Linked DNA regions of Struthio camelus. The protein of the gene in region 1 interacts with the protein of each later gene in a biochemical or structural test. Links are inferred from orthologs where the notes say so. Each region holds a gene or a part of one and is shown in the gene's direction. Other genes may lie near its edges.

Region 1 (10,457 bases):
AGTACATGTTACAGTATAGGTTGTCACATGTAACCAGTTTAAGCTCCTAATCCCCACTTGTTCTGCAAAACCAGGAAGATTGGCTCTCATATTGTGAGTCACATTCTGAGATAGGTCAGACCGTTACAAAAGTTATGAATTTGGCATACCGTTTAACTGGCATTCGTTTTTCTTACTGTAAGAACATGAGTTAGTTTTAAGCAATACAGCACTGCTGAATAGAAAGAAGTGATTTCACTTATCTTCTTGTTGCATAATTTTTATAATTTTGGTAAGAATTTCCAAAAAATAAATGTTGAAAAGTGAACAGCAGTTCAAAGACAAAGGTGCACACCAGATCCTGCTTAAGCTAAGCTGTCTTAAATACCCAATGATATTTTGCAGGAATTTTTGAAGAAACTCCTTCCTCAGTGCTTACCTGTGAGCGCTGTTGCAAACACCCATTGCACTTTCCTCACTCAAGGTCACCCAAAGTCCATTCAAATCTCTTTGGCTCTTGAAATATTAGTAAGAGGAGAACAGAGGGAATTATAGATCCACTGCTAGGTAGGAAAAGAGAATAAGTAACAGAAGACTGAAGTATTGAATCAGTCTTTACAAAAAGATGATAAATTGTGACCAGATGCTTAATTTCCATAAGGGACAGGAACCAACTTGAAAGGATCAGAGTATTTATTACCTAGGTTAAGGTGGACCAGAACACTGAGAAGAGCAGCAAACAGACTAGGTGAAGACCTAGCTATCGCAGTCCTTGAACTCCAGGTATGAGGAATTCAGCACACACTGGAGGCCAGGCAGGGAGCTGAAGAAGAGCAGACATCCATCCTTCGAGATGAGGGGAGAACGAGGACAAGGAACTACAGAACAGTCAAACCAACTTCAGTTCTCAGATAATACTCTACAGCAAATTATGATCCTCAATATGCTTACAAATTGTTTAATACGACAATAGGAAGGAACTCCAACTGTGTCAAATCACTCATTTCCTTCCCTGACAGGATAACTGCCTAGGGGATTAGGAGCATGAAGGATATATGGTCACTAAGGCTTTTGTTGTGGCCTAATGTAAAATTATCATAAGCAAGCTACAGAAATGTGATAAAGCACCATATACTGTAAGTGCTCAACCAGCTCTCACGGAGAAGATATTTGTGGTTCCATTTCAAACTCAGAGGTTATTTCAAGTAGAGCCCCATAGAGATTTGTTCCGGCCTTAATCGTATTCAGCGTTGTGTTAACGACACAGATGCTGAAATAAACAGTGCACTTCTAAAGTATATATGGATATCACCAAGATAGGTTATCCAGTTGCACAGGATAAAGACTATAATATGGGGACCAGTTTGGCCACTCTAACTTCCAATAAAGGTGTATCCAAACTTGAGTGATGAGAACAAAAAAGACTAAGAAAAGCTCTATAAATCACTGCTTAGGAAGAAAAGCTGAAGAAACTGGGTTTGTTTGCTCAGGAAATTTATATATAAGTTTATATATATTTCAAGATATATATGGATACGTAAAAGAGATATATACTCCAAAGGTGCTGTACAGTGGGTGCTCACCAGATTCAACAGGCATGGGAAACAAAGAAACCAAACTAATTTTCAGAGAAAAAAAAGAGTTGTTACCTAACAGTGAAAATGGAAAAACGTATAACGACAGTGATGCACAGGGACAGGATAAGAGATGTTATAAAAACCTTCAGTGGAAGTTTTAAGATCAGGTTAGACAAACGTTTTGAGGATGTCCTAGTGCAGCACAATCAGAGCGATCTCCAAGGGTCCAGCTCCAGGCTGCAAATATGATCCTTACCAACAGGCATTTTCTCCCACAGTCTAGCACGGAATTTATATTTGTTCCTCCTACTGTGCTCACGTTAGGATATGGTCAGCCTGGTACTATCCCAAAACCTTACAGTTAGAATAAAGGAGTTACCAAACTGACTTCCAAGACAGAGCCAGTTTGCTCTAGTTACATGTGATCCTGCCTCTCTACTGCCTAGGTCTCCTGAGGTCCCTTCCAGGCCCTATGGTTTTTATGCTTCTGTTATTTTGATTTCCTGTTAAATGAGAGAAGACAAAGCTGATTAGCAACATTTTCTCAAGCTTCTAGACAGCTGTGAGTAAGCCTTCATTCTCCAATTTCCTCTGTGAACTTATTCAGACTATGACACTTTATTCTAGTTTTTTACTTTAAGAATGTTTTTTTCCCCACCCACCATGAATGCCAGGCCTGTCAATCACACTAACAACAACAAAAAACATATGGGAGGGTTTAAGAGGCGAGAGCAGACATGAGAAGCTCTTCCTTTAACTTATTTGGAATCAACTCCAACATGCACGCCTGGGAGAAGAAAAACAAGGAGTATATGGTAAGTCATGTTCTTTTTGTTATTTTTGCATAAAAATAGCAATGCCAAAGGATTATATTCTGTATAAAGTCATACCTTAGAGAACTCAGATTTTACTCAAGTATATTTTGCTAATGAGAGCAGTAGTCCAGTGTTATATCCAATAAAATGTTACGTGCAGCTGCCTTTTCTTTTTTTTGCAAAGCAGAGTTAGACTTGAAAGTTTTAAAGCAAGTTTAACACATTTAGTGGCTCTGTTCATGAAAATATATAGCCCTATTTTGTAAGAAATGTTAATGGCATGATCTAGCAACCATTTTCTGTATTCCTCGTTAATGATTTCTATGAAATTGCAAATTGAGGACTCACTTTACGAAACTCCAAGGAGCAGTAGCCTGTAAAAACATGTCTCTTATGTGGCTTGCACATTCCAAACCGTAGGAAATAATTTTGTTCAAACATATATCATAATGGTGTGTTAATCCTGCTTTATGTTTGGGAGTTATGTATGAGAATGCCTTTCTATGTAAAGGTCAAATTATCTGGTGTCTAAAACATGCACATTAACTAAGATTCCCCTGATATTTGGTGCTTCTCAAGGGAGAGCAACACAGGGCTCAGCATCAGATGTCTTTTTTGCTAAGGGCTCCAGAAAAATTAAATTTCTTAATATACACAGATCAGTTTTGTAGAGCTCTGGGGGCTCCACAGCTTGAGTCTTCCCCAAAGTTGTTCCAGGTGTTTAACATTTACCCTACTAGAGGTAGAGCACCAGCTCCAACCCCACTTTTGGGGAGAGTGCAAAAGTAAACAGCAGGGATGAAAGCCGTTAACATTTCTGGTTCAACGCATCAAGCAGTTTAACCTGCCAGTTTCCATGCCAGATCAAGAGGCTCAGGGGCATATTCAGTAGCTACAAGCACAGCCTGCCCAGGGCTGGTGTTGGTTCACACTCAAGTCACCGCAACGCAGCCGAACAGGAGCAGCCAGCGCCTGGCCATTTGCAAAGAAACAGCATCTTCATCCCTACATGGACTCCCCCCACCTGCAGCCCACACGTCCCCACAGCCAACATGGGCTTGAGGGCACATATTTACTCAGACTACCATGATCTTTGGTGCAGGATAACCAGGAGTACAGGGGTACTAAGCAGAATTAATTACCAAAACCAGAGCCCTCAGAGGCAAGAATACTTCAAATACCCCCCCCGGAAGCAGTGAAAAGCAAGAGGAAACACACACTAACAAGCTGTCAGTTTGTTGCACACACTTGAGGAAAGAAAACCACAACGCTGGTGAAGCCAGCATAAATATCAGTATCAGAGACCAGCTGCAGGATCCCAGGTGAGCAGCCCCATGTCCCTGGGTTTAATTATTTTGTCACTGTGATCAATGCTCTAATCAGACCGAAAAGCAAAAGGTAAATAGTTTCTAGCAAAATGAAAGCCCCCGTGGTTCAGCCACCTCGGGAACACAGAGCTGAGCGTGACTTACCAGGGCGACGCGTCTCACTCAGTAGAGGGAGGTGAACCCTAATCCCAGCGCCGGGGACCCCTGCTAGTTGCATCCTGCTTTGACAACTAGCTGCATCATGTCATCCCCTGGAGGGCCCTCTCCCGAAAACCAGGAATGCAAAATTTAAGGAAACATCAACCCAAGCAACAGTAGGAGACTTAGCCAAAAGTTAGCCCCCGGGGGAGAGCAGTGACTGAGCACCCACGCCGGGAGGAGGGAGGCCGCGGCAGCGAGGGGGATGCGCAGGCAGGGCCGGACCCAGCTCCCACGCTATGCATGAACATAACAGTGGAGGGCGGCAGGCAGCAAGGAGCAGCTTCTGGCACCCAGCGGTTTCTAGCAACGCTACCGGCCTAACAGGCCATGGTGGGCAAGGGAGCCGGTGCTTCTGGCAACGCGTGCCCCACTGCAGAGCGCCCGCAGAGCACCGCTCTTAACCTGGCATCGAGGTGTCTGAATCGGAACGGCTTACACCCGCTCAGGAACCAAACACAGCCACTATCACAGAAATAATAGCATTGCAATTTCACTGTACTCGCGTTTCACTCCTGATAGCGTCTGTTACCTGGCTGTTTTCCCCAAGCAGCCAAAGCTATAACTCACAGGCATCTCCCACCCAGCTGCTGCCAGCCGCTGGCAATAATACATACATAAGGGACATGCTACTAATGCAATCGCTGCTGTGCTGAAACGAGGCACACAGATCCCTTTGGGATACATGCACCTCTTTCCTCTGTGCACACTGGAAGAAGGTATTGCTGCCTCCCCTCATCCAGAGCTGTTGCCCCCTTGGAACCACTTATGACCAAATGCTACAAAATATAACATATGATTTCTTATACACACAACCAGGTACTCAGATAATTTTCAGTTCTGAGAAGGCAAAGTTTAAGTTGCAAGGGCATTGTGTTAGTTCTGCATCTGAAATTCCAAGATTTGAGTTTGGCCGAGTTCATTGTTCTGGAAAGTCATGGCATAGTAAAGAGTTAAGAGTGGCAACAGTCTGACCTGTCAGTCACTCTAACAGCAAAAATACATGCAGGAAAATTTGAAGGATGACAGATGAGACATTTTAACTTTGAAAACGTGCCCAAAATCCATTTTGCTTTGGGAAATGAAACAGGAAGAGTTAATTGGAAAGCAGAACATTGATTCGTTGGTCTCCAGCCTTTTATGGAAGCTTTCCTATTTCTCCTGTCGTGATGACTCAGAACTGCTGAGCAAAATAATCTGGTTTTGTTTCAGCAGCTGCGTCTTGACTATTTTGTTGCCCAATGCATAAAGCAATGGCTCTCAAACTTTCCCTCATTGCTCCACTTCAGAATATGTACTGTGACCCCTTCTCCATTTTCAGAAATGCATATGCAGCTCATCTCAAACTGGGAACATGCTCTGTGCTAGAGGTGAATAGGGACCATGAGGAGCAGGGCAGGGGATTCAGCTCAGAGGAGACATCTGGATGGAGACAAGGGTGCAAGGGAACAGAAGTGCCACTCAGCCTTTTCAGCGCTACTTCATCTTGCCTCCATCCAAGCCAAACTGCTGCATTCATTCCTTCTCCTGCTGCTGGGAGTGTTTCCCAGCTTTGTGTCGGCCCAGGGCATTGCACACCTCCCTCCATAGAGGATAACATGCCTGCCCGCATACACAGACCCACATCCAGCCCAGGACATCCCCCAGGTCAAAATGGCTGGAGACTGGAAGAGTGTAGGGATATACTTCATGCTTGCCCCTTTCAATACTCTTTCCTAGGCATCCCATTTCTGGCCGCAGTCAGAAGACAAGATACTGGGCTACATGAACTTCTGGCCTGACCCAGGACATGCATTTTAGGTCAGCCTTAGCTTTTTAAAAAGGTAACAGAGTATCAGAAAGAATTTGTTCTTTAACAGTACTAAGAACCTGAGAGAAAAAAAATTCTTTAGAACATACATTGCCCTTGAGTAAATGACTGAGTTTTAAGCCCAAGAGTATGATGCCCAGACTTGACCGGAAGTCTGACATTAACTAACGTGACTGTAGGAAAGCACGAGCTCTGTAACTAAGCTCTATTTCTTCTGTGTAAACACCATAGCTCAGCATGTCAAAACCAAGGGCCATGTCAAATGTGGTCTGAAAAAGGATCCAAGCAACTGCAAGGGAGTTCGAGGTAAGCAAGCCAAGTTAGCTGCCATTAGCAGGTTTTATAATAGATATGAAAAATAGTCACACCTTAGTTGCACCTGTAAATAAATCAGACGTTGATGACTCAAATATTTTATACATTGGTTTTCAGCAGAACTCTTAGTAAACTTCATTAATGAGTGATATTTGCATATCTTAATATAAAAGAACACTTACAGATTCCTTAGACTCAAAAAGGATCGCTCACACAAGAATATCAGTACTTCTTAAGCTACTTTTAAAAAGGCGTGCACTTTAACTGCACAAACAGGAAAAAAGTTGCAAAAGGACTTCCTCTTAGGATTTCTACAGCAGCTGAGTAAAAACCAGTGAAGCAGCGGTTCAGTGTTATTCATATAGATCAAGCCTTTCTCACTGGATAGCAACATGGCTACAAAACTACCATCTCAAGAGGAATGCGAGAACTGGACAGCATTTCAAGTTGCAGATCTCCTAAGACAGGTACTGAATGTATATGCAACACTCACAACAGTTCTTCTATATTCAGCTAGCAAATCTCTTTCTGAATTTATCTTTGTAAAAACTGCAGATATCTATCTTAAGATAGATTAGACAGCAGTTGCCACCTCCAAGAACTCATTTGTATTAATAATCTGTGAGTTTCTTGGTGTTCTCCCAGCTTTTACAGAAATTTAGTTCTGCTAGCTAAGATCTCCTTCATGGTAAATTGTACAAAAAAGTTTGCTCCCAAGAATATTTCTTAGAATAGAAAAGATAGTTGAGGCCATACTTTCTTTCTGGGAAGAAATAACCATTTCATTGGAAGCAGGCATAATTTTTTTTATTTGAACATTACTTTAAAATTTACAGTTTGTCAACAACAATCTACTTTTCATCTTTTTTTCAACATGCATGTACCTACAGTAGTTTCTAGATGTAGTCTTAAGCTTAAGGTACCTGAAGTTTTGCTTTTTTAAATGATTCCTTTGTCTTCTTGTACCTTTCCTACTTCTACAATGTCTGCAATGCAAAGTCTATGTAGGTAACCTGAAGTGCACAAAACACTCCAGACCTGTCTGCAGTTATCCCTTCACTACTTGAATAATCTCTCCTCCAAGATGTTTTTTTTAAATCAGATTTTTCCATGTAACATACTGAACATTATAAGTCAGGTTTTACTGCAGCTTACCTGTATGAGCTATATATAACCTCCTTTTACGTTTGTTTGTTTTTTCAGTGCAAGTTTCTCACTATGACTTTACATCTAGGATTTTTCTGACCTGTGTGCATTCTACTTCTAACTTTGGTACACAGTCTTTGAGAGTGCCTGCTTTACACCAACCATGAGAACTTAGTCTGCTATCAAGGTTTCTCATCCTTTTTAATTGAAGGAGCATGCCATTTTTTTGAGGAAGAAGTAGAGCATTATGAGATGTTTCTATAATAGTTCCATTTATAACCACATAAGCAGGACAAAATTTAAAATGCTCCTGTATGACTTATTTTTGCACTTTTGCATTGTGTGAATACCCTATTCTCATGCATGTGTAATTAAAAAAAAAGTTTTACAATGCAGATGGATCACAGGCAGACCACAGTTGCTAGGCTGAAAAAGCTAACTTGTTCCACACAGTTAATACATAGCTTAGCTGATACATTATGATTACGCTGTGAACTTCATTATTAGCACGAAAAGTTGTGGTAATTAATCAGCTCAAAACCTTTCATCTTAAAGGAAATCAGATTAACAGAAGATGTAAAAACATCAAAGTCCCCTGCAATTCTACACCAGACTACAAAACTGAAAACTAACGACAGTTGTTCAACAACTGAAACTTCCAGGAAAACTTCAGCAGGCAAGCTGTTAGCTACTGAGTTCATGCTCTGTAAGAGAAGTGTTAGGACCTTACTCTTCCATGTGTACATCAAGTTGTTAATGCTTGTACCTATGCTTACACCACTGATTAAAATAGCTAAGTGATAGGACAGCTACAGCATAACCAACATTTAGTGTTTGGCCGCTCTGTGCGTCAAGGCACGGTGCTGGCAGCCGTTCAGCCCCAGCTCACCTCTGGCCAGCTTGCATAGTGCTAGTCAGCTTCCAGTAGCAGCGACCCATAAGGAGCATGACCTGACCACTGGGTACTACCATCAGCTCTGCAGTCAGCCTATGTACCCGCAGATGCAAGCATCATGCCCCAAAGACAGGGCGCACACACACACACACAAACCATAAAATAACAGCATTAAGCAGTAAGGTTGCAGGATGAAGTACTTGGATGTTAAGAGTGCCAGGACAGGGTTTACCTCTATAACCAGACTTCACCTCCTTTTACATATTACAACAGTCTGTAACTGCTTCTTCATGCACTGCTTTTCCTGTTCCCAAAAACCTGCTTCTTTCCATGCAAAAAGCCTTATGTTTTGTGCACTACTCTGGGCTGATACAGAAATTGTAAGATGCACAAGGCCAAGGCTTGCTGGAAGAGAGGATGAACTCATAGTAACATCAGCTGACTTCTGCCTTGAAGTATCAGATGCTGTCACTGCCCCAGCACAGCACTCTCACCTGGGGCACTACAAGTCACCTGTACGCAACCTGCCGTTGCCTAGGTGCCTGATGTGAAATCCCAGGCTCTGATTTGCAGAAGTGGTGAGAACCGAGAATCGCAACCAAAGTCAGTGGGAGCTCTGCTCAGAAGATAAAAACGCCAGGTTACTGAATATGATATATATGACACCCCTGTATGTGTATATATTATATTTATATATTTTATATGTAAACAGGCCCCAGGTTTGAGTAACGTATAGTACAAAAGAAAGCAGGGAGCACTGAACAGACTGCGATATGTTGAACAGCAGTTCATGACAGTCACATCAGCTTATGTGCTCTGACTGACACTGCATCCTCTAGAAGTACATTGGAAATAAAATGGTGATGGTTCAGTGACCATCACTAAACACAAACAGTGAGGCATCAGCTTGTCATCTACTTGTTTAACAAACTAACAATGTAAAAAGACCAAATTTTCCCTTACACAAAAGGTGCATGCTTGATTAACAGCATAACACAAAGCAAAAGAGAAAAGGAACTCATTGGAGCCAATAATTGGAAATAGATGGGCAAAAGCAAAGAGCAGAAACTATGCATTATCTCGATCCTTCTCCTTTCCTCCAGTGTCAGTACAATGGTGCTAGTGGCGAATTAACACTCCCCACAGCAACCCTCTCACATGTGATGTGATCAGCGATCATATCTGGAAGCCACAATTGCACTGTAAACAATCAGCACTCTCCCAATCATAGAATAAAAGAACAATTTACAAACTCAGATGCAGAAACAATAGTTTATAGACCAAACAAACTGTCTGAATAGCTCAGAAACCCTGACATTAAAAACCAAGCAGATTTATGCTTCAGAATTTTCTGCTTAGATCAAAATAAGTAGATTAAATATTTTATTCTGAACATTTCTAAGGGCAAACAGTTTTAAGGAAAGTATTCTAGAAATAAAGAATTACCTTAGAAAGACCATATAACTATTTCTATGAGAAGAATTTATTTTCACTAATGGCCCTCTGTTAGTCTCTGTGTTAGTCATTACTGCTACAGAAATTTACATCTATAATATAGGGGACAGTCAGCAAGGACTGATAAATGTGTGACAAATGTAACGTTTTCCCTATGTTTTGTACTCCAGAATGTAACAATTTGTTTTAAATTCTAAATGTACTTGCTTAGAACAAACAAGCATTTAAACTGTCACTGATCCAATCCTGGAAAAACCTGGATGCTCACTGTAAGCTTCTTATAAACTGCAGGGAGATCTTGCACACCTATGGGAAGCAGACATCTGCCTTCTTTCTGAGCATCAAGATCATACGTTTAACAGTTTTCCAGAGCTCCGTGGCTCACGTCTGAACTAATGAAATGAATGTATAGGATCTGGTTTTAAAGTTCACTTTGTTAGTGGAGCTGAAACAGATAGACTGAATACTTTAAGTATTACAAATACTGAAACTCATTTCAAGAGCTGCACATCCTTAATGAAAAGAGTTATAGATTTTCTTTCTACTTTGTGTGTAACAGTGCAATTTCTTTGAAAAGCCAGGCTAAAGTATATAACACAGCAATCAATGAGACTTCTAGGACTTTTTCAGCCCAATTCTATTCCTTACTACTTTTTTTTTTAATCAAGGAAATCCAATGTATCTACTTTTTTCTCAGTTACTATTTAGTTTCTGAGATAAGGAGATACTACTTCTGGGCGTTCTTATTTCATTTTACTTTATAATCAACAACAACTTGCTTAGGGGAAAAAAAAGTCATGTTACTGAGAAGAGATCCTGTTTCTGAATACAAATCACTTTCTAGCAATGCCCATCTGTCATGATAACTGAAGGCCTATCCCATGCTCTCATACCACAGATGCACCTAGCCAGAACATCTGCTTCTAGAAATCAAACAGC
Region 2 (11,187 bases), on another chromosome or scaffold:
GAAGTTGGATTTCGATTTCTTGCTGTCGCTGAGTTTGGTTTTAACCCCCAGGTACTTCATGTAGGTCACGATGGCACCAAAGATGGCAGAGCTGGGACGGGGGAAGAGAGAGGCTGAGGGGGCAGGCGAGGGAAGCCGGGGCGGGCAGGGCTCGGCAGGGCTCAGGGCGCCCCTTCGACCGCTGCCGCCTCGGCCCCGCGGGGCTGCGAACGCTTCCTCCTCCCCTCCCCGCTCCAACAGCCGCGGCACCTTCAGACGGCCCCCAAAACGCCCCCATGCAGCCCCGGCATCCTCAGAGCACCCCAGGAGCACACGCCCCCCCCGCATCCCCAAAGACCCCCACGGGTCGCTAGAGCCCCCCGCCCCGAGGCGCCCCCGAACGCCCGCCCGCTTTTCTCACCTTTTTTCCTCGTCGGAAGATATCGTGAGGCTGGGAAAACAAGAAGCAGCAGCGCGCCGTGAGCCCAGGCGTCCGGAGAGCCCCGACCCCCGCCGCGCTCCCCCCACCCGGCTGCGCCCCGGCGCCGGGCCCCCCCGCCGCGGCCAGGGGCTCCTCCGGCGGCCCCCTCACCGGTATGCCAGCCCCATATCTGCCCGTCGGTGTCGGTGCCGGGCGCTGGAGCATGTTCTGGTGAGCAGGCGTGCGTGTGTGCTGGGACGGAGCGGCTGGGACAGACTGGGCTGGAGGGGGGGGACGGGGGGTTTATACCGCGCCGGGGCTGATGCAATCGTCAGCAATACCCAGGAAAAGGGGGGAGGAAGGCGGAAAGGGGGTGTCTTCCCCTCCCGGGCCGCCGCAGCTGGCTCCGATCTGCGCTTCTGGGACGGGCGCCCGGCAGGGGAGGGGCGCCAGATGCGCTGGGGCCGCGCGGAGGAGGAAGGGGGCTGCCAGGCAGCCGGGAGGCGGAGGGGGCGGCGGGGGGCTTGTGCCCAGCTGGGGGGGGGGGTCTCCGGCTGGGCCGCGGGGGTAAAGAGCTTGGGAAAGAGTCGGCGCACGCGCAAAAGGCACGCGGCGGCGGCACCGCGGCAGCCGAACCGCAGCGCCCACCTCCGCTGCAGAGGGGGCCGACGAGGGCCCCCCCACGGCCCCGAACCGCGCGCGGCTGCGCCGGCGCCGGGGGTGCCGGCCGCGGGGGAGCGCGCGCCCGCCCGCCCGCCCACGCGCCTGTCCCCGAGGCGTCCCACTCACTGCATCTCCTCCAGCCGAGCCAGCAGCACCTCCGCCAGCTGCTTCTCCTTGGCCTCCCGGATGCCGACGTCCCGGGTCTGGTAGGACTCCAGCTCGGTCAGCTCCTGCTCCCCCGGCGTCATGCCCATCAGGCGCTTGGACCTGGGGGACGGGGCGTCAGCGCCGGCGGGACGCGCCTGCCGCCCCCGTGCCGCGGCCCCCGGCCTCCTCCCACCTGAAGTCCTCCAGCTGCCGGGAGATCTCGGGCTCCTGGAAGGCCTGGATTTCCTGCAGGTACCGGCGCTGCACGTCGTCCGCCAGCAGCTCGGGGCGCGTGCGGTCTGCGGGGCAAGGGGGCCGCGAGCTGCCTCCGGCTGCGCCCCCAGGCAGCCCGGCCCGCGCCAGCCCGGGCCCCCGTTCAGGGCAGAGCGCGGGGCGCCCGCGGGGTGGGACGGGTTCGGGGCGCCCCGTGCCCCGCCGGGGCGTCGGGGGCTCTTCCCAGGCCCCTGCGGGGGACGCAGCAGGACTTGGGCGGGAGGGAGAGGGGCGCAGGCGAGGGGGCCCTGGGGAAGCGGCGCCGGAGCGCGCAGGGCAGCGTTTGGGGGCCGCCTGCAGCGTCCCCGAGCACCGGGAGATGGTGCCATGCAGCTGCGTCACGTTGTCCCCCCCCCCGACCCCCCCTCCCAGCCGCAGCCCCATGAGCTCACCCTGGCCGGGGCTTCCCAGGCGCTTCCGGCCTTTCTCGCCAGCCGCGGCCAGCTGGGTGCGGCTGGAGGAGGAAGGGCCCAGGCCGGGACAGCGAGCAGCGGGTGCCGGGGGGCTGGGGTTGCGCCGTGGGGTGCAGCGGGGGGAGCCGAGGGGGGACGGGGCGCGCCGTGGGGTGCAGGCGTGGGTTTGGGAGCGAAGCCGAGGGGCTGAGTCGCGTCCCTAAACCCCCGCGCTGGGGTGGGGGGGGAGTTAACTCACCCAGTTCGAACTGCACCTGGTGGGGGACAGGCACCCGCAGGAGCTGCGAGAGAGGGGGGTCAGCGAGGGGCGGCGGGGGGGCGCCGCACCCCTCTGAAAGCCCCGCGGGAGGGGGAGCCGTGGGGCGCAGAGGGGCTGGGGGCGTCACTCACCCCGGCCTTGTCCAGGAACAAGTGGCAGAACTCGAGGAACTGCTTCTTGCCCTCCTTGGGGTTCATCTTGCGCAGCATGTCCACGTGCAGGTAGCAGAGCTGGGGGGGGGGCGTGCACAGGCTGACGGCAGGGCCCCCTGCCCCCCCTGCACCCCTCCTGCGCCCCCCCTGCACCCCGCGCCCCCCCCGAGCCCCCCAGGGTATTACCTCAGCTCCAGCCCCTGCCAGCAGGGAGGGGGGAACAGAGAGAAGAGGTTATTCAAGGGGACGCGCCGCGCAGCCGCTTACGCGCGCGCACCCCCCGGGGGGCTTTCGCACGCTGGTAGGGGGCCCTCTGCAAGCCCAGGCGCCGGCCTGGGTCCCTGTGCGGCCCCCCCCCGCCCCCCCGGCCCGCGAGCCGCCCCCGGCGGCGCTCACCACGGGGCAGGAGTCGAACTGCAGGACGACGTGCTGCAGGAAGGCCATGAGATAGGCCGGGTGCTGCCGGACCAGCTCCAGGCTCTGGAACATGCTGTTCTGGTCGTCGGGGTTCTGCGGGGTGGGGGGGGCAGAGTGAGGCTCCTGCGGGGCCCCCCCTCACCCCCGGCGCCCTCCCGCGGGCGCCCGCTCACCGGCTCGATGTCGTTCTCAAAGTCCTCATCCTCGGCGCCGATGATGGCCACGACGGACCCGCCGCGAGCACCCGCCGCCGGGCTCTGGGGAGAGACGCGGTGTCGGGGGCAGCGGGGAGAAACGGGGTCGGGGCGGGGGGGGGGGGGCGGCTTTCCGGGGCGCCCCCGAGCGCAAACAGCCTCGCAGGGCGCCTCTCCGCCCCGGAAATCCGCCCGGGTCGCGGCGGCGGGGGAGCCCCGTCACCCCCCCACCAGCACCAGCACCCGCACTCACCCCGTTAAACGCCTCCTCGGGCTCCATGCTGCCCCCGGGGAGCGGGGGGGGCCCCGTCGGCCGGCTCGGGGGGTCGCGCCTGGCGGGGAGAGAGGGGGTCATGGGGAGACGGGCCCCGAGCCCGGGGACCGAGACGAGTTTGCTGGGTCTCGAGCCCGAGGGCGCCCCCTCCAACGGCGGCGCAGGAAGCCGCGGGGGCCCATCCCTCTCGGCGAGCAGGATACGGGCGCGCGGTGCGGGGGCGCGCGCGGGCGAGGGGCGGGGGCGCGCGGCCGGACGCGCTCCCCGCAGCCGGGCTCTCCCCGCCCCCCCCCCCCCCGGCTCCGACGTTCGGGGTGGGGGTGGCGCCGGGCCGTCAATGGGGCTCTGTGCGGCACAAAGAGCCCCATTGAGAGCCCGGCGGTGGCGGCGGGGGGGGAAAGGGGGGGGGCCCTGCCCGCCCCACCCACCCCACCCCACCCACGCGCGCCCGCCCCGGCCCACCCTCTCCCCGCGCCCCCCAGGAGCCGCGGCCCGCGCTCCTGCCCGCTCGGACGCCCCCCTCGGCGGGGCGGGGGGCGCAGGTGCGCGCCGTGCGGGGGCTCGGCGCCTTCCGGGGCCGGTCCAGGGCTGCTCCCCGCGCGCTCCACCCCCCGCGGCCCCTCTACCTACCTCTTGCCGAGCGGGCGCCGGTGGCACGGGTCCGACGGGCAGGAAATGTGGCAACCCCTGCCCGTCGGGGGGGGGGGCGGAGTACGGCCCCAAGAAGTTTGGGGGGGGGGGGCAGGACCCGGACACCTGGGCTCCTCGGGGCGCCCCCTCCCCGTCGCCCCGCAGCGGAAAGGCGGCTCCTCGGGCTCTAAAACAAAGCAACGGCCCCCAGATTATTTACGGAGAGAGCAAGGCTTCCTGCAGGAAGTGATGTGCAACGCGACGGCACCAGCCTCCCCCCGCCCCACGGCGCGGCCCGCGGCCCCCCACCTGCCCCGCAGCCCCCGCGCTGGCAGGGCCCCCCGGTCCTGCCCCGCGGCCCCCCACCGGGGCGGGCTCTGCCCCGCGGCGGCCCCAGGGCCCCCCGAGCCCCCCCCATCCCCGGCGGCGGCGCTGCCCCCCGGCGCCCCTCACCTCTGCCCCACAGCCCCGCCGCCCGCTTGGCAGCGCCCTCGGCCGCTGCCCTGTCCCCGTTGGACGGTGTCCAGGCTCCAGCTGTCCGGAGCGGGCCGCGGGGGGGGGCCGGCCCTGCCGGGGAGCGGGGCGCCCCCCGGGCGCGTGGGGGACACCGGGGGGGGGACACACACGCCACGGGTGTCACCGAGGCCCCAAATGCCTCCGGGATTCCTGGCATGGCAGGGCCGCCGGGAGGGGCGGCGATGCCGGGGAGGGGCGAGAGGCGGTGCCCCCCCCCGGGGCAGGGGACACCCCGCCTCCACCGTGGGGGCAGCCCCATAGCCCTGGCAGTGGGGCGCCCCACGGCCGGGCGCCCCTCGCGCCCCTCCGACGCGGCCTCCACCCTGTACGGAGCCGCCCAGCTGCCCCCCGCGCACGCGTCTCCCCACGGCCCCGGCCTAGCAGAGCCCTGCCCCACATGCACGGCTGCCCCTGGCCCCCCGCGCATCTCCTGCCCCACACAGCTCCCGTGGCCCCACACGCGTCCCCTGGCCTCATGTACGCTCCAGCCCTACACGCGTCCCCTGGCCCCACATAACCCCAGCCCCACACAACCCCAGCCCCACACGCATCCCCCGGCCCCACACACATCCCCCGGCCCCACATAACCCCAGCCCCACACGCATCCCCCGGCCCCACATAACCCCAGCCCCACACACATCCCCCGGCCCCACATAACCCCAGCCCCACAGGAACCCCCTGGCCCCATGTACACCCCAGCCCCACACGCATCCCCTGGCCCCACAGGAACCCCCTGGCCCCATGTACACGCATCCCCTGGTCCCACATAACCCCCAGCCCCACACGCGTCCCCTGGCCCCACATAACCCCAGCCCCACACACATCCCCCGGCCCCATGTACACTCCAGCCCCACACAGCTCCCGTGGCTGAATAGCTCCCGGCCCCACGCGCGTCCCCTGGCCTCACGTACACTCCAGCCCTACACGCGTCCCCTGGCCCCACATAACCCCCGGCCCCACAGGCACCCCCGGCCCCCCACACACCCTCCCGCCGCCTCCCCACGGCGCCGTTCGGCTGCCGCAGCCGCTGCCGGACCGACACGACGCCAGAACCGGAGGCAGGAAACGGTCACTTCCGCCCGGCTCGGCTCGGCTCGGCTCGGCCCGGCCCGGTCCGGCTCGGCTCGGCTCGGCTCGGCTCGGCTCGGCACACTCACCGGGTCGGGTCGGGCCGGGCCGGGGGAGCGGGGGAGCGGGGGAGCGGGAACCCGCTGCCGGTTGCGGCCGGTCCGGGCCGTCCGCTCCTCTCGGCGCTTCCTGCGGGAGGAGCGAGGCCGGGAACCGCCTCCTGCCGCCCGGGGCCGCGGAGTCCCGGCCCGCTGCCCCTCAGCGCCCCCAGCGCCCCCAGCGCCCCGGGGGTCGCTCCCCCGCACCCCCAGCACCCCTGGGCATCACCCCCCAGCACCCCCAGCACCCCTGGGCATCGCTGCCCCCGGGGGTCCCTGCACCCCCAGCGCCCCAGCCCCGCTACCCCGGGGGTCCCTGCGCCCCCAGCGCCCCGGGCATCGCTCCCCCGCACCCCCAGCACCCCTGGGCATCGCTGCCCCGGGGGTCCCTGCGCCCCCAGCGCCCCCGGCCCCGCTGTCCCTGCTCGCACACCCCCAGGTCCCACATCTCCCGCGTGCCGCCGCGACACGACGCGACGCGACATGACACGACGTGACACGACACAACACAACGACGCGAGACGACACGACAACACGACACGACACGACACGACACGACACGACACAACACGACACGACACAACACGACACGACACGACAACACGACACGACAACACGACACGACACGACACGACACAACACGATGACACGATACGACACGACACGACAAGAAGACACGACAACACATGACACGACAACATGACATGACGACACGACATGACGATACGACGACACGACATGACACGACATGACGACACACCGACACGACACGACGACATGACACGACGACACGACATGATAACACAACACAACACGATAACCCAACGTGACAACACGACACGATGATACGACGACGCGACGCGACACGACGACATGGTGATACGACGACGCGATGCAACGCGACACGATGACGCGATGACATGACGCGACAACCCAACCCAACGCGACAACCCAACACGACACAACAACACGGCACGACAACCCAACCCAACCCAACAACCCAACACAACGACACAACATTACAACCCAACACGACACGACAACACGACGCAACGACACGACACGACAACCCAACACGACACGACAACACAACACAACGACACGGCACGACAACCCAACGCAACACGACAACCCAACACGACACAACAACCCAACACAACGACACGACACGACAACCCAACCCAACACGACACCCCAACACGACACAACAACCCAACACAACGACACGACACGACAACCCAACCCAACACGACACCCCAACACGACACGACACAACGACACGGCACGACAACCCAACGCAACACGACGACACGACAGGACACGACAGGAGGACGGCGGGGCAGTCGTCCCCGGTGCCCCCACCCCCCGGAGCGCAGCCGGGGTGGGCGACCCGCGTGGGTCCCCGTCCCTGAGCGGGGCTGGTAGGGCATCCCCGGGCTGGGCCGGCGTTCGGGGTGGGGCGTGGAGGCGGCCCGCCGCGCAGGCGCCCCGCGGCCCCCCGGGTGCCGGGCAGGGGCGGGCGCGGGGCGCCGGGGCGCATCTCCTGCCGCGGGGCCCGGCGCAGAGAGCCCGCAGCAGGCGCGCAGGGCTGCGCTCCGCCGCGCCGTGCCACGCCGCCGGCGCGACATGGCGGGTGCTGCCGGCCGGCGCGGCGCCCCGCTGCCCCTCGTCCTCTGCCTCTTCTCAGGTAGGGCCCGGCCGGGCGGGGGGCGCGGAGCGGGTGGTTGGGGGGGGGCCAGCCCGCCCCGAAACGCTCGCCCCCACGGCGCGGGTGGGCTGGGGCGCAGCCGGCGGCCCGCGAGCCCGCGGCGGGGGGCAACGGGGCGCCGCGAGGGGAAAGGCCCCGCGGCCCCCTCGCCGGCCCCCCGCCGCTGCCCCCCCCGGGGCACCCCGGAATAGCGTCGGCCCCAGCCCGTCCCTTTTGCTTCCTGTCAACACGGCCCGAAAAGAGGAACCGAAACCGGCCCCAGGGGGGTTGGGGGCGGGGGGCGCGCGGGGCCGGGGCCCTGCTGGCGCCGGGGAGGCCCCCCGCCGCCTCCCGGCGAGCTTGGCCGGGCCCTGAGGTGCCCCCCCCACCCCGCGCTCTGCCCGCAGGGTGCCTCTGGCTGGCGCCCGCCGCGGCCAACCGGACCTGCAACGGCAGCAGCTGCCCCTTCTCCCTGCCGCCGCCGCCGCCCCCGTCCCGCCTGGCCCTGACCCCCATCCTGGTGGAGAACAACCAGACGGTGGCGGCGGGCCGGTGCTGCCCCGGCAGATGCTCCGTGGTGGTGGAGGCCGGGCCCACGTCCCGCACCGCCACGGTGGGCGACCGCGTCAGCCTGGAGTGCGTGTTCAAGGCCCCCAAGGACGCCACGGTGACCTGGAACCGCGTCTGCCCCCACAAGAACTGCAGCGCCTCCTTCGCCCCCGTCAACACCAGCTACGGCGGCCGCTCCCTCTTGCTGGAAGCCGGCCGCGTCACCCTGACCTTCCGCCACGTCGACAAGCAAGACGCCGGCCTCTACTTCTGCAAGGTGGAGGCCGGCTGGGCCGCCGGGCGGTCGTGCGGCACCTACCTGCGCGTGCGCAGTGAGTGGGGGGCGCGGGGAGGGTGGGCCGGCCCCTCCGGCGGGCGAGGGGGGCTCGGGGCCGAGCTGACGGCCGCCCCCGGCGCCCCCTTGCAGACCCGATGGCCGTGCCCTTCCTGAACATCAAGGAATCCACTAAGAACCGGATCATCATGGCGGAGGGCATCCTGCTCCTGCTCTGCGCCGTGGGACCCGGCCTCTTCCTCCTCTTTAGGGTGAGCCCCCCGCGCGCCCGAGCGGCGCCGGCCACCCCCCGCCCCGAGAGCATGCGGCGGCAGCGGCAGCGGCGGGTCTGGGGTCAGCGGTGGCGGGTCTGGGGGCGGTGGTGGTGGGTCTGGGGTCGGTGGTGGCGGGTCTGGGGGCAGCGGTGGTGGGTCTGGGGGCAGCGGTGGCGGGTCTGGGGTCGGCGGCGGCGGGTCTGGGTCAGTGGTGGCGGGTCTGGGGGCGGTGGTGGTGGGTCTGGGGGCGGTGGTGGCGGGTCTGGGGGCAGCGGTGGCGGGTCTGGGGGCAGCGGTGGCGGGTCTGGGGCGGCAGCGGCGGTGGGTCTGGGGCGGCAGCAGCGGGTCTGGGTCAGCAGTGCCAGGTCTGGGGTCAGCGGCGGCGGGTCTGGGGCCAGCAGCGGTGGGTCTGGGGTCGGCGGCGACAGGTCTGGGGGCAGCGGCGGTGGGTCTGGGGTCGGCGGCGACGGGTCTGGGGGCAGCGGCGGTGGGTCTGGGGTCGGCGGCGACAGGTCTGGGGCGGCGACGGCGGGTCTGGGGGCGGCAGTGGCGGGTCTGGGGCCAGCGGCGGTGGGTCTGGGGCGGCGACGGCGGGTCTGGGGGCGGCAGTGGCGGGTCTGGGGGTGGCAGTGGCGGGTCTGGGGCCAGCGGCGGTGGGTCTGGGGTCGGCGGCGACGGGTCTGGGGGCAGCGGCGGTGGGTCTGGGGTCGGCGGCGACGGCGGGTCTGGGGCGGCGACGGCGGGTCTGGGGGCGGCAGTGGCGGGTCTGGGGCCAGCGGCGGTGGGTCTGGGGTCGGCGGCGACGGGTCTGGGGGCAGCGGCGGTGGGTCTGGGGCGGCCCGGCGCCGGCGGGATGCCCCGCGCGCCGCGAGCCCCGGCCTGAGCTCTGCCCCTTTCGGCCGCCGCAGAAGCGATGGGCGAACGAGCGGCTGCTGCAGCTCAAGAAGAGCGCCTACGAGGAGGAGAACCTCTACGAGGTGAGCCCGCCGGCGGCGCGCGCGCCGTCCCGCCCCGTATCCGCCGAGCCCCGCGGCCTCGCTGACCCCGTCGTCCCTTTGCCTCCCCAGGGGCTGAACCTGGACGAGTGCTCCATGTACGAGGACATCTCGCGGGGGCTGCAGCCCACGTACCAGGACGTGGGCAGCCTCTGCGCCGGCGACACGCAGCTGGAGAAGCCGTGAGGGGCCGGGGCCCTCGCCTCCGGCCTTCCGCCGTGCCCGCGCGTCACCCCCTTCCGCCTCCCGCCAGCCCCCCGGCCTCTTCTCGCCCTCCGGCTTCCCACAGACGGGGGCAATTTGGCGCCGGGATCGGCGCCCGGCGCAGCCAGCTCCCGGCAGCACCAGGCAGCGACAGACGCCCGTTATCGTCCCCTTTGGCTCGAGTCCCCCACGGCTTCGCTCCGCTCTTCAACCACGCGGTTCCCTTGGCGTTCCCCTCCCCTGACTGTGGCTCCGGCCCCAGGTGCTCTGCTGGCCGGGCGGCTCGACCAGGAATAAAGCTGACGAGCTGCTGACGGGGGGTCCTGGAGTCCGTGCGACACGGAGGGGGCTGCACGGGGCCGGGGGAGGGCGTGCGGGAATAGAGCCGCTCTGTTCCCGGCCGCCGCGCTCAGCCCTGCCTCGAGCCGGCGCGTCTCAGACTTTCCAGGTCGGCAGCGCCCCGCGGGCCGCAGCAGGAGTTTCCGTGTCCCTCCCCCTTCCCCTTCGTGCCGGCAGTGAACGAGGAGCAGCCGCTCCCCAAACGAAGAAAGCAAAGCAAAGCTCGCCTCCTCTCCCACCCCGACTGCCCCTTCCGTCTCCCCGGGAGAGGGGACTCACCCACCGGTGGCGGAGCGCCGCTTCCGCTGCTGCCTCCCCGTGCGCCCGGAGCGCGCGGGCTGCGCGGGGGAGAGCAGAACCAGCGCCCGCGGGCCGCCGCCGCCTTCCCCGCGAGCGCTGCCAGTCCGCGCCGCCCCTCTTTCTAGCCCACCGAAGGCGCCGGCTGTTTTAGGCCCCAGCTGGAGCGTCTGCGGGGACGAGCCCGTCCCTGTGACTCTGCGGGAAACTGGGATGACTTCGCAGGGAGCCAAAACGGGCCAGAGCTTTAGTGAAGGCCATCGTCACGAGCAAAGGGCACTTCCTCCGCTTGCGCTTCCGCGCCCTGGGTCTCGAAGGTAAATGGTTTCTCTCCCCCTTGCCCGAGGGAGGAGGCCTGTGCCAGCCGCTCCTGGGTTTTCGCGCACCGAAACGCACCCCAAGATAAAAACCGCCTGCGAGAGGGGCGCCGGGGACTCGCCTCCCCCAGTTAGACCCGATTGCTCCTCGCCACCGAGATGGATGTACCTGTCCCCGCCCCGGGGGCAGTTACAGCACACGAGGTGCAGCCGGCAGGCCGCGCGGGACGAGCGTCGCGCTCCCGCCCCGCACCCCGGCCGGGAGGAATCGGGCGGTTGGGAGCCGGCAGGGCGATCCCGCTTCCGGGGGCCTGAGCCGGTGTTAGAACGAGGCTCCCCAAAGCTGAGCCCCTCTGCGTTGGGGCGGGACTCCTCGCCCGCCCCAGGACGCCGCTGCCTCCTCCCAAACACCTTCCACGATCAAACGCGCGCCTCCCTCGGCAAGCCCGCGGTGCCGCCCCTCCCCGCCACCGTCTTCCAGACACGCTCGGAGAAACAGCGATGTGGGGATATTAATAAAACATTTGTTATGAAGATAAACACAGAGCAGGAGAGAGCTGAAGAGCACGAAACTTCCTCTGCTTCCTGTCAGGCCTCTGCGGGCCGCGGAAGGCAGCGCTGTGACAGAAAGCAGAGCCGGGGGGGCTCCTCGCACGGGCCAAGGGCGGCCGCTGCCCCGTCCTCCCGGTCACCCCTCCTTCGCACGGCCCCAAACTGCCCCGGGCGAGGTGTCAGCCTCCTTCCCG

Evidence for each region.
Region 2: the proteins of BLNK (region 1) and CD79A form a complex in vitro, tested with the Homo sapiens proteins (2 studies listed by BioGRID). The link is inferred for Struthio camelus from reciprocal best matches to the Homo sapiens genes BLNK and CD79A.

The regions. Positions count from the first base shown.
Region 1 is NC_090948.1:18,433,459-18,443,915, forward strand, and holds the start of BLNK (B-cell linker protein), read left to right. Parts: upstream 1-6,331; 5' UTR 6,332-6,414; coding exon 6,415-6,489; intron 6,490-10,457. UniProt on the Homo sapiens protein: Functions as a central linker protein, downstream of the B-cell receptor (BCR), bridging the SYK kinase to a multitude of signaling pathways and regulating biological outcomes of B-cell function and development.
Region 2 is NC_090980.1:232,680-243,866, reverse strand, and holds CD79A (B-cell antigen receptor complex-associated protein alpha chain), read left to right. Parts: upstream 1-7,036; 5' UTR 7,037-7,130; coding exon 7,131-7,191; intron 7,192-7,598; coding exon 7,599-8,072; intron 8,073-8,167; coding exon 8,168-8,286; intron 8,287-9,197; coding exon 9,198-9,266; intron 9,267-9,356; coding exon 9,357-9,470; 3' UTR 9,471-9,802; downstream 9,803-11,187. Other genes in the region: ARHGEF1 (rho guanine nucleotide exchange factor 1), read right to left, coding at 1-91, 401-430, 1,190-1,330, 1,404-1,509, 2,135-2,177, 2,287-2,385, 2,704-2,817, 2,898-2,981 and 3 more. UniProt on the Homo sapiens protein: Required in cooperation with CD79B for initiation of the signal transduction cascade activated by binding of antigen to the B-cell antigen receptor complex (BCR) which leads to internalization of the complex, trafficking to late endosomes and antigen presentation.